3 linked regions of the Tribolium castaneum genome follow. The protein of the gene in region 3 purifies or fractionates together with the protein of the main gene of each other region. This does not show direct contact. Links are inferred from orthologs where the notes say so. Each region holds a gene or a part of one and is shown on either strand. Other genes may lie near its edges.

Region 1 (4,395 bases), on a different chromosome or scaffold from region 3:
GACGATAATGACAATCAAGGCTCTGTGTATGTGTAATCTTCTTGGAAATGTTCCGAGATGGACCCTCGGAACATGGATTTTCGCTCGGTTTTTGCTCTTGCCAACTGGAATTTGTACGCAAGATTGTGTTTTTGCTCTCGTGTCTGGTTAGTTCAAATAAGGACTCCTAGGCCTTATTTAATGATGGTTTAGCGCCGCTTTCGTTACGGCACGCTTTTGAAGTGTGGCGTAACGGGGGCGGGGCTTGTTTTGCAACCAAAGCCTTAAAATAGCTGCCTTGTTCTACTTTTTATAGGAAAGCTCAAATTTTCATACTTTGGTAAGAACTGAAAGATTCTATAGTACAATTCGCTATTTGAATTAAAAAATTGTATAGCGTGTAAATTATTTAAAAATTGAAGAAATGGTGCTAATTCTTATTCATACGTTAAATGTGATATCCACTGAATGTCTATAAAAATTATTTCTGACTTGTTGGAGTGGTTGTTCTATTGCATTTATGTCGAGCTTTAGAGGCCTGGAACGCGAAGAAAGACCTCGATAGGCGGGGCTAGTGCGCAGTGGCGTAGCAATTAACTATTTAAATTGATACTTCCTACTATTCGTCCATATATTCAGTCGTAGCAATACAATAGGTACAAAAAGTTACATCTTGTTCTATTACACAAGAATAAAAAATTGTTATTTATTGTTTTGTAACAAAATAAATTCATAGATTGTTTGCGCACCCCCACCATCGCGGTCATTCTGTCATTTCACGGTCTCTACGGCGTCAACTGGCATTTAATTAAAAACAATTGGAATCGTTGAGGTGTTGTCACTGTGACTGAGCAGTTTTGAAATGTTTTTATGGACAGTCAGTTGTATGCAACAATAAATTATTATTGTATATTATGTACAATACTCTAGGGATTTGTAAATATAATTATATCGTCGAAGTGTAATGGTCGGTCTAAAGGTACTAACTAACCACTTGCGGGGTTTTTGTTAAGTTGTTAGATGGAAAAATTGTGAATTAGTTGAAGAGAGCAAGGAAAATTAACAAGCACTGCCTTTTTTAACTAAAAAGAATAAAAGCATTATTTAATAATCTTGCAGTAAATCAAAATAGTTTTGTAAGAGCATAATGTTTAATTTTTTTCTCAGAAAAAAAATGCTGTGTTACAATTAGTTTTAATGATACGCTCATAACTTAATGCTTAGTTAAATATTTATTACATTTCCCCTCATTCTAAAATTAATTTGTAACACCCTCCTAGCTTAAGTATGGATTAATTTAGCATATAATTTTTCTAGTCTATTGGAATTTTTTTATCGTTTAAATATATTATTGATTTAAATGTTGTTTATAGGTCATAATGTTGTTCCTTAATTATGCAAGAAAATAGTAAAAGCGTATGCACTTAGGAAATTATGATTTGAGTGCCTACATAGTGTAAATGTGTGTAAATAATTATATATTTTTGGAAACATCCCGTCTCTGATTTCCAACCTTGGGCTACGCCACTGCGTTGATGGGCAATGTGGCAGTGCACGCGCATGCGCAAACAATCGAAAATCTGACAGTTCAAAGGGGCGTTCTAATCTGCGAACAATAAAAGAAGAGTGGGTCGCCATTTTGTTCGCTATAAAATCGTAAAGATCTTACCAAAGTTATATAAAACATCCCTGACCGAAACCAAAACTTATCGTTTGAAATGTGTCTGTGATATAAACAGTGGAGTGTAAATAGCGGTATATTTGTGATATGCACTAATTGTCTGTGTGTTTTTATTTTGGTACATTTTGGAGAGGGTGCAGATCAGCTGAAGGGACAGAAAATGAGTTCGAAGGACGATGAATACGATTATTTGTTCAAAGGTAAGCGTCCAATTGGGGCCCTTGTTATCGCACTTTGACGTTGCGGACCTTGGAGGTAATTGACACTTGACGTAAATTTTGTTCCCGTGTGACAAGTCAGCAATGTCAGAGGTCAACTTTTCCAAGTCCTTACTCAAAAATAATCAATTAGAGCGGCATCAGGGGCCCCCTTCATGCCCCCTGTGCACCGGTCACGAACAACTTCAATTAGAATAATCAATGATTTTGGCTTTTAAACCGTACCTGACAGAACGGTTCAAAATGCAAATGTTTACGTGCCGCTTCCTTTGCAGTTGTCCTCATTGGAGACTCCGGGGTAGGAAAAAGCAATCTGTTGTCTAGATTTACTAGGAATGAATTTAATTTGGAATCAAAATCGACAATAGGAGTGGAATTCGCGACTCGTAGCATGCAGGTGAGTCGAACACCAATAACACAAAAGGTTACTGCATCTTATTTAGTCACGACTCGAATTTCCGTAAATATCATAGTCCCACTTGCTCAAATCTCTTACTCATATTATCAGATTCTGACAAATGCGGGTGGGTGTAAGTGGATGCATAAACAACTCAAGAGACATTATTTTCCGCTCTTTCAGTCTTGTGAAAGACGTCATAATCAGCTGGCGAAGATATCCCATTATCTTAATGCACCGTTGTGTCATTGTTGACCCACTGGGTTGTGAAAGTTGACATCCCATGGTACACATATCAGTCACCTAATTTGCATTATATTTTTTTAAATCGGAAATCTGGGTTAAGTAAGTGTTGTAGAAACGCAAAATTGAGCATAATATCCAGAACAGCTCATTTTAACACTGAACTTATGTGCGAACTATGAAAGATTACAACTGTTTTTGCTACACTCATTACAGCAACAATGAAAATGTTGCCACTAATGAGTATGACAAAGGAAAGTCGATCCCGTGTCTGTGATTCATCCATTTTTTTATCGTTGCCAATTGGGTAACAAAATTTTGATATTATCTAAAGTGCTATTCGGAAAACATGCCCCAGTTTGGCTACAATTTAATGGTAATTTGTGCTCCTATTCGTTTCTGTACATGACGTCACGCTTGATTAAGTTAATGTGGAAAATTTAATAAAGAAATTGGTGATTTTTTTCGTTCACCAGAAATACGTAATTTAAGGTGATGGGTGAAATATCGTTCGTGTTCCAGACGTAATTTCGTAATTAAATGATTCCATACAACATTCAACTTTTCGTGAATATTTTTAACCATTATTGATTAATATTTCACTGTGATTGCTTTCCTGAACGTTGAAGACTTCCTCGTTTTACAAAAAACAGTTTGTTTTGTGAACCATTTATCACATAATTTTATTATTGATTAATGTAGCCTGTTTGAAGACACAAATATAATGGTTAGTAAATAGGCAGTGGTAGATTAAAACTGTCTAGCAGAAGTTCAGACTACCCAAAACATGTTTTCGAACATTTATTTACAAGGAAATAAAATGACCCTCCACTTGTCATGAGAAATAAATTTGCGGCTCAGCCCTAAGGATATTGACCGCCATCAAACGTCAACATACAAACAGTTTTGGAACTCTTGTAAACGAAATATAGTGCAATCGATTTTTTAAGAGTTTTGCGAGGTTGAACCATAACTTGACTCTAAATAAAAAATACACTTCACTGACCATCTATTTTGTTTAAAACTTTAATAAGGTTTTGTCTCTTCAGAGTTTTCTTTATTATAAAAACATGTATCAACAAAAAAACAATCGTTTCGCATACGTTGTATGAAAATAAAAGTTTGCTCTTGTCGATCTTTTATTTATTATTCAATAATTAAATGGGTGGAGTTACACTGAATGATCTAACATTTAAGAATCTTTGAATAAAAAATTATGGAAAACCGTATGTGTTTATTTATTTGCTTGATGTCATTAAGTTTGAATTGAAATTTGTTGCATATACACTTACTAAGTGAAAAAAAAGAATAATTGAAGAAATTTTAATGTATTATCGCTATTAAAGATTCTTCAGAAGCTTTTACTCTTCTTATGAACCATCATCTAAGTTGTTAAAGATAATTTACGATATAATTAACTTATACGTTATTTTATGTGAGAAAAAATATTTAAACTCGTATCACCTTTATTTTATCCTATCAACTGACAGGAAACAGAAAAAAATGTCTGTAACATCTAATAATTCAATTCTCAGAGATGCATCAGTTTTTCCTCGGTTGTTGAGTTTGTTACATAATGATTTTGTGTAACATTGAATACCTATTAAAAAAGTGAAGTATAACTATTAAAGCTTTCTTAACGACATTTATTGTTAAGTTATAAAAAACTGTCAATTACGGTAAAAATGTGGCGTCGCGTTATTTTATTTTACTTTAAAAATTATTATTAATTACATAAGTTTTTATCAAAACCTTCGTAAGTATATCGGGCATAGTATGTTTGCTTATTACAGTTAGTTGCAATAAAATAGGAAAATTGAATTCTCTTTAGATTGTAACAATTTATCTTTATCACATTCATACAATTTTTCTGCAAT
Region 2 (3,887 bases), on a different chromosome or scaffold from region 3:
CTGGAAGCATTTAAGAACGGCAGACCTACAGTGAATTTGCCAGTTAATGTAAAGAGCAAGAAACGAAAAAATGAAACAACTAATCAAACTAAAAAATTGGAAACTATATCAGAATCCGAAGCATCAAACAGTTCAGATATTGACAACAAGACTGATTCAGATGATGCTTCTAATCACGAAGAGAACTCGGTCCCTTCGGAAAGCAAACCTTCAACGTCCGCCCAAGATTTTGATTTTTTGAACGATGACGATATTCCATTGACTTCCAGTTTGCCTAAAAGACTGACCCAGAAAAGGGCCCCAAGTGAAATTCTTGTAAAAACTGTTGACAAAGCTTCAACAGCGCCAAAGACTGAGCCTGAAGAACCACCGAAAAAAGCTAAAAAGAAAGCGTCAATTAATATAAGCACGCAAGACCTTTTGGATATGTTGTAGTCACTGAGTGGCCACGTATGAATTAACTGTATTACTATTGTATTGTCTTTAAAATTCTATAAATAAGACCAAAGTTTAATAATAAAAATAAAATAATTATTCGATTTGAATATTAATCTTTACTTGTTACAATAATTCTTATACAAATATGAACTACAAAAATGACAATCTATTATGATTTGTTTAACCATAGATGCACAGCAATCATACAAAATTTAAACGGTTATAAAATGGTTAAGTCATCGGTAAGTTTGTTCCTCTACCAAACTAAAACTTCAACCCCATGTAGAAAAATGACTGGAAACGAAAAGGAGTCGTGTGCATAATTTACAAGTATCAAGTGCATGCCTAAGTGTTTCCTACTTAAAACTGAACTGACGTTATCATGGAACAAACACTTTGGGAAATTTTGTATCATACTGCGTAAAGTCAATAAAAATCACATAGTGTTAACAAAACCCAAAATTAAACTCGATACAATCAGAAAAACCTAAGTAATCACACGTTTTTAGGGCAAATAGCCAAGTCTCGAAGTACAAAAGTTAAGATGTTTGGCTATTCCTCCCTAAAAACGCTGAAATTCGAACTGAAAACGTGTTTATCAATAATTAGGCTAATGATATTGGTGTTTATTACATTAAAATTTATAACAAGGTTCAAGAAAGAGTGAAACATAACCAGGTTTAAAATAACTATACATACAAGACGGATATTACTATAATATAAATTAGCAGGAAACTGCTACCATACAAAATAAGAGATGACCTGCAAACAAATGTGACTAAATTTTCAGCAACATCCCGACTTGGTTGTTTCAATTGGGCGCCCTTGATCGATCTTCACTTTGCTCGCTTGATCGGCGGCCGAGGACGGGGGCCCCACCCGGTTCTTGATCTCCGCAGCCATCGTCATGAAGGCCTGCTCCACGTTGCTGGCGTTCTTCGCCGAGGTCTCCAAGAACGGGATGCCCAACTGATCCGCGTATTCCTAAAACAAGCCATGAAACAGCCCCTTTGGCCCCACCTCCCGTACCTTAGCCGTTGTGTAATCCACCACTTTCTTCGTAGTAAGATCACTTTTATTTCCCACTAATAACTTGTTTACATTATCGCAAGCGTAACGGTCTATTTCTTCCAACCACTGTTTCACATTATTGAAAGAGTCCTGGTCTGTGCAGTCGTAAACCACTATAATACCGTGTGCCCCCCTGTAATAACTCGAGGTGATCGTTCGGAACCGCTCCTGCCCTGCTGTGTCCCACTGAAAGCACACTGATTAAGTTGGGCCCGAAATTACCTCGGCCACTCACTATTTGCAATTTTATAGTCTTCCCGTCTAAATCGATTGTGCGTATTTTCTATAAACAGACAATTAACAGCACGTTAGGGCAAGTGAGTGGGTACTTACAAAATCTACACCAATGGTACTAATGTAACTTTCCGTATAAGTGTCATCCTGTAAACACGACATAAAAATGCGTTCGGGCCAATGTCTGGCTTTGACTCACCGCAAACCTAAGCAATAGACACGACTTCCCCACGCCGGAGTCCCCGATCAGAAGAAGTTTGAACAAGTAATCGCTGAAAGTGAGAAAAAATCATGAAATTCCTGCAGCGAGCAGCCTTGACTGCGGAGTTTCCCCGAGAGATAACACAAGGAATTCGGATTTTTTCAAATTACTACAAAATCACAAGTTGGAGCGGTTGACTCATGAAGTGCGAGTGACGTGCCACTTGCATATAATTGAGTTGCCGTGAATAGTGGGTGGAAACGCATAGGAAATTGATCGCCGCCACCAGTAAAATGCAAACTCTTCGCTTTTGCCGAATTACGCGAATTGGAAAGCATGATAATTGGGAGAAAAAACCGAAATCCTGACGCAAACTGCGCAATACACGTCAAAAATACTACATTGTAGTTCCAACAAGTCAAAAAATAAATAAATCGATACTTACTATTCTGGATTCATATTTGAAGTATTTATTTTAAACAATAGCTCTAAACACCACTATTTACGTCTGTTTTTCTTTGCTGTCACCCTAATTTACACGTTAAATTACAGAAATTTCATACACAAATAAGCAAATTTAGGACAATGGCTACTGCGATTGACGTATCGCAACAACTTTGTCCTGGTAATTTCAACGGTGGGGCGCAGATGACAGCACTGCAGCGGGCGCGCCACATTCAAAGTTCTGATTAAAACAGGAATGTTATCTTACTCTTATCAGTGGAAATATCAATTAACTGGAACGCGACAAGTATACGCGATGTTTACATTATTAGACCATAAATTCCATTCTTTCTTTTCCTTCTTCGTTTTTCTTCCTTGTTAACTGTGGGGGAACTGCTCGAGGAGGTTTAATAAAATTAGGGAGGGATAATAGTGATAATTTAATAATTATTATAAAATAAGATCATTATAGTACTATATTTTTTATAGTATATAAATATTATTTACCCAAATTATTATTTTTTTATTTTTTTTTAAACCTTTTATTAAACTGTGGTAGATTTTTACACCGATAATATAATAAAGAACAAAATCCAGCAAAATTTGATTGCATTTGTAGTAAAATTACGATAAAAAAAATTAAAAAAAGTTAGATCCTTCCGAAAAAATACCGTAATCAGTCATTGAAAATTAATTTCAATTCAGTTTTCCTGTCACCAACCAAGCAAATTGAAAAGTATTAACGTCTTCAAAAAATCATTTATTCCCGAGGAATACCAAATTTTCATAAAAGATTATACAGAACAAAAATAAAACCAAAAGAATAATCTTTGAAATATGACATACTTGGAACGATATCAGGTAAATAGTTGTTACTGATCTGATGGAAGTTATAAAAAACTCATAAGAAGGTAACAAGTAAAAATGCCACTCTGTAGACCATCTGTATTACACTGGGAATATTAAATTAAGAAAAACCATGAACGAATACAAAAAAAAACAAGAAATAAACTCCAGTTCCCTGAAACGTAAGTACCTGCTTTTTTATTTATTTATTATGACAAATATCAAACAACCGTCTCCAGATGTTCGGCCAATAAATACCTAAAAAAACCTAAATAGCTACGTTACCGCCGCACAGACACTATAATAAAATTTAAATTCGTCACATATTTGTTTGTTATTCCCTAAATCCCATCGGCCCTATCCGTCCATTCTTTGATCACTTGTAAATAATTGAAGGAATTTTGGATCTCCAGTAATTTAACACGTGTTCACTGTCTCTTTTTAATGTTATGACCTGCTTATGGAAAGCCGGACATTGCCCATAAAGCTTAAAATTTGAAGTTTATGTCCAGAAGGTTTATCCAATTTTTACAAAAAGCCCAAAAATATATTTTAGGAAAATAATTGCAAAGTAATTTCGCTATCAGAACACCGGAAATGACAAATATGATACCATTAATTATCAAAGAAACAATAACCGCACACCTACATA
Region 3 (4,116 bases):
CCTAGTCTAGCCTGTGTACTCCACATAGAAAAAATTTCCAATGTACAAACTAACATCACATTAAATACAAAACTGATAACTTCAATATTTCAACGTAATTTATTTATAGTTAAAATTTAGTAGCAAAAACAGTTTATTTTCATTTCGTGAAAGCGGCGAAAACGGCCCACAGTACCTCCGAAGTGTTTGGTTTGACTGATTCTTGCTCAAAGTCCAAGTCAAGTAACTCTCGTACTCGCTTTATTGCCAATTCGTAGTCGTCGTCATTTAGGGGCGCAAAAGCGTTCTCCAGAACGTCACTAGCATGGGCCAGGAAAATCAACGCCAACATCCGCTTGTCCATGCGCTGGGGGTCGTTCACCCACTTCGTAAGTACGGCATCCTGGATCTGAAAAAGCGGTTTTTTACCCCAAGCCCTCCGCCAGAAATTCAGACACACTTTGCTTAAATTCAAAATAACAAAGTATTTCCCGATCTCTAAAGGGCAAACAATAGTTAACTTGCTTTGCTGCCGAACCAGCTGAAATTTTGCATACATACGTAACCTCCGTGCTATTTAGTTTAATAAGTTAGTTAATTCTGTTAGGATTTTTTAAGACGAAACCAAACCCTTTTTTCCCACAGGAACTAACATATTAACAAGCTAAAATTCATACATACGTAATTTTGTGACATTACAATAATATATACATTATTTAATAATTTGTAAATAATTAACAATTGTAATTAATTTATCAATATCCTGGCCTTTAGTTGAAAAATGGGAATGGGACCAAATCAATTCCAAGTAAAAACACAGTACCCAAAAAATTTTTTGATGAGTTTTTTACATATTTAGCATTATTTTTACGCTTAGGTTCATTTAAATACTTATTAGCAATTCTTTTTCTAAATGAATAAACACTAACTGTAATAAAACATTCCTTTTCCCAAGGTAAAACACCGTATCTACAAAATGTCTTAGAGACAGTCAATCGTAGTCCATTTGTTTACGTAAAAATAACTCATATAGGTGTAAAAAAGAATACATTTATACAATAATATAACTTTTAATCGAACTTTTAGTTTATTATTGGCAATCTATTTTGCTTATTTAAAGCACACAGCAGCACGTTTCTTAAAGTGTCCATGGCAACATTAATAACATAATAACCCAAGAAAAGTGAAAATAAATACTAACTTTTTTAACATTTTTTATTAAAATGATAATCAATTCCATGGCAACGAAAGGTAAACTGATCTCACATTACATTATTTTCAATATTTGTAATATCAATATTTATGATTTCAAAGTGTACCAATAAAAAAACTAACGTAAAGTATTCATGTATAACTCTTTTACGAGCACTCCGGCTACGCCGTCGTGCTCGACAAATCCTGCATATTTTAAATACCTCAATATCCACTTATACTTTAATATCACGTTGTTTTAGATAATTTAATACTCACGTCTTAAACTGTCCTAAAAAAACGATATTTTTAAGTTAAACAATATGAGTAAAGAGTTAGTCATTCAAAGAGGCCGGTTAAATAAGTATTTTTTGGTCTACTGAAAGATTAAAAGCAGATACTGCATTTTAGTTCAAGGCAGTCGAATTAGAGACTAGTATTTTCCAAATATTTGTTATGCACAATCGGTGTCGAATATAATTTACACCAGAGAGTGTAAATAAATACAATAAACTATTCAATAAATAGGAAAAAATAAAGAAAAGGTGAAGAATAAGTTTTTTCTCAGAAACATACATTTGTGCTTATATCTTACAATTTTAAAATTTATAAAAGCTTTGGGAAGGAGTATTGCATAATTACCTCAGTTACACTCTTTCAAAGCTTTTACAAATTTTAAAAACTTAAACTATAAGCAAAAATGATATTTTCTATATACGACGATATAGACTACCCAGAAAACTTAACTAAAAAAAGTGAAGATTTTGAAAGTTGTGGACATAAATACACTTAATTATGTAAAAACGTAACGAAAACAAAAAAATAGAAATGAAGACAATGTAATTAGGGAATAATTCGCAAGTGTAAGTCGTATACTCTTCTTAGTACTTTACCTGCCTATCGTTAAAGTTCTACTTGATCTACTATTTAGTAGAACGGGGCACCCTTTACCACCTGCTGTATCAAAACGTACCTTTTTTATTAAACGGCTTTTGGTGACGTTATCGGTCAGAGGGTGCGTGGTCATATCAAACAGCAGAAAGTTTTGCTTCTCCGTTGTGAGAACCCCCTTCTCGACGAGGTTTTTCGCTAGGCGTTCCCGCACGTTCTTCAGCTGGTAGCGCAGTTTGAGGGGGTTCCAAGTTTCGCCTTAAAAGCACGCAATTAAGTGAACCTGGGGGCAGAAAGGGGCATTTGGAGCATACCGCTGAGGTACTCAATCCAGCTTTGAACCGTTTCTGGTGGATCTGTTTCCTTGAGATGTTTTAAAGCTTCATCTAGGAGGACGTCTCCGGTAGGTGTGTCGTTTTTGAGGATAAGTTTGCGGGTGAGGAGCGCCTTTCGGCGCATACCAGCCCGCTCGAGTTCCACACGTCCACGTAAACCTAACTCGATTAGAATACACCCCCGGAGACCGCTCGAAATGCAGTCGTTCCAAAACGATGTGTAACCCTTAAAAACGACACGGTTAGGTGTGGTGAGCACACGGGGGGCGAAGCCCTACTTCTTTGTCTTTTAAGCCTAATAATAATACTTCTTCCATTAAAGTTAATCGGGTTTCTTTGGAATCGCCCTCGTCTATGTCTTCGTCGTGCTCCTGCTTCTTCTCATTGTTCTGCGATTCTTTCACACCTTCACCTGAGTCACGTATTATGTTTCGTCTTTGCACCAGCCCTTCACTCCGATTCATTTTAATTAAATATCAAATAACTTATTTATTTTCTACAAGACTTGACGTTTAACTGACTTCCATCAACATGGCAAATGTCAAAAGCATGTAGGCTGCTGGCAGAAAACCACTCCGTCCGAAAAATCGACAAATTCGCTCACTTTCTAAGAAAATTATTCATTTCTAGTATTTAACAAACTAAACTAACCCTTCAAGCCTTTTTTTTGGATAAAAAATCAAAAATCGGGAAAAAGTGATTACGTCCTACGATTACGTCACGCTCTTATCAATTCCAATTTAATCCCTTTGTACAGAAAATCTAACAATGCCAAGTAATCAGCACCCACAATTTTTATGATTTCCCCACCACGGGATTTTTTCAAGTTTGGAAAAAATTGTTGTCGAATGGGTTGCATAACCCACCGTTTTTAACCTCACTTTTTGCCACCACATTATTTTATTTAAAAATGACCGAAAGTGATAAAGCCGAAGTTTTCAATTTTTTATTGGAGACTGGGTGTTGCAAAAGGTGCGCTTTACGCTACGTTGGCGATAACACAGCCGATTATGATAATCCACAGGTAAAAAAAAGTCGTATTTTCAACAATTAAAGGTTTTTTTTGTAGCAAAACGGACACGACCAGTTGGCGAAAAAGACGAAATTGAATTCGTGCATAATTTGTCTCGATTTGCTCCAAGATGTGACTCTTGAATCCATGGTTCAGTGTGAAGAACTGGAGGGTGTTAAGGAGTACGATTGCAAGACTTTTATTAATTTCATTAGTTTTCCGGTTGCTGTTCTAATAAGGGAACACAGCATGGAGATTCATATGAATGAGAAGTTCCCCAAGTTTTTTGAAGGTTGTTTGGTTTGCTTGTTGAAATAGTTGAAATGCTTACATTTCAGATCGTAACATTGTTCCAATAAACAGGGCATGGTCCTTGTCAATACAAAACAAACTGGGCGAAAAACTTGGCAAAAAGTTCAATAAAGATTCATTGCTCCAAATCCAGTTTAACACGACTTATGAATTTGAAAAAGAGGTAACGAAAGGACTAACCACTGCTTGTTTAAAAATTAATAAGTTGTATTAGGAGTCGTCAATTATGTTTCTGATGGAAAGTAGACTGAAAAAATCAAATGGACAAAACGAGGGTCTTAGTCGTAACGTAATCGGGGAGTTTTTAAAGACAATAAACACCGAACTTTTCAAAAAACATGCCGCTGTCCCTCCGGAACCGCCCGGGAAAGCTTTAAGTTTCGACCAAGTGGCTTA

Evidence for each region.
Region 1: the proteins of sau (region 3) and Rab11 purify together in Drosophila melanogaster (affinity purification with western blotting; 3 studies listed by BioGRID, with this or other methods). This does not show direct contact. The link is inferred for Tribolium castaneum from reciprocal best matches to the Drosophila melanogaster genes sau and Rab11.
Region 2: the proteins of sau (region 3) and Rab1 purify together in Drosophila melanogaster (affinity purification with western blotting; 3 studies listed by BioGRID, with this or other methods). This does not show direct contact. The link is inferred for Tribolium castaneum from reciprocal best matches to the Drosophila melanogaster genes sau and Rab1.

Annotation. Positions count from the first base shown.
Region 1 is NC_087397.1:10,555,197-10,559,591, reverse strand, and holds the start of Rab11 (ras-related protein Rab-11A), read left to right. Parts: upstream 1-1,584; 5' UTR 1,585-1,820; coding exon 1,821-1,860; intron 1,861-2,153; coding exon 2,154-2,275; intron 2,276-4,395. Other genes in the region: wts (serine/threonine-protein kinase Warts), read left to right, coding at 1-36.
Region 2 is NC_087396.1:13,471,688-13,475,574, reverse strand, and holds Rab1 (ras-related protein Rab-1A), read right to left. Parts: upstream 2,579-3,887; 5' UTR 2,405-2,578; coding exon 2,391-2,404; intron 2,016-2,390; coding exon 1,943-2,015; intron 1,891-1,942; coding exon 1,843-1,890; intron 1,793-1,842; coding exon 1,745-1,792; intron 1,696-1,744; coding exon 1,468-1,695; intron 1,423-1,467; coding exon 1,225-1,422; 3' UTR 532-1,224; downstream 1-531. Other genes in the region: uncharacterized protein LOC103313699, read left to right, coding at 1-435.
Region 3 is NC_087403.1:8,423,611-8,427,726, forward strand, and holds the start of sau (Golgi phosphoprotein 3 homolog sauron), read right to left. Parts: upstream 2,861-4,116; coding exon 2,675-2,860; intron 2,623-2,674; coding exon 2,376-2,622; intron 2,320-2,375; coding exon 2,144-2,319; intron 389-2,143; coding exon 140-388; 3' UTR 1-139. Other genes in the region: tRNA pseudouridine synthase Pus10, read left to right, coding at 3,307-3,420, 3,466-3,700, 3,747-3,883, 3,935-4,116. UniProt on the Drosophila melanogaster protein: Phosphatidylinositol-4-phosphate-binding protein that links Golgi membranes to the cytoskeleton and may participate in the tensile force required for vesicle budding from the Golgi.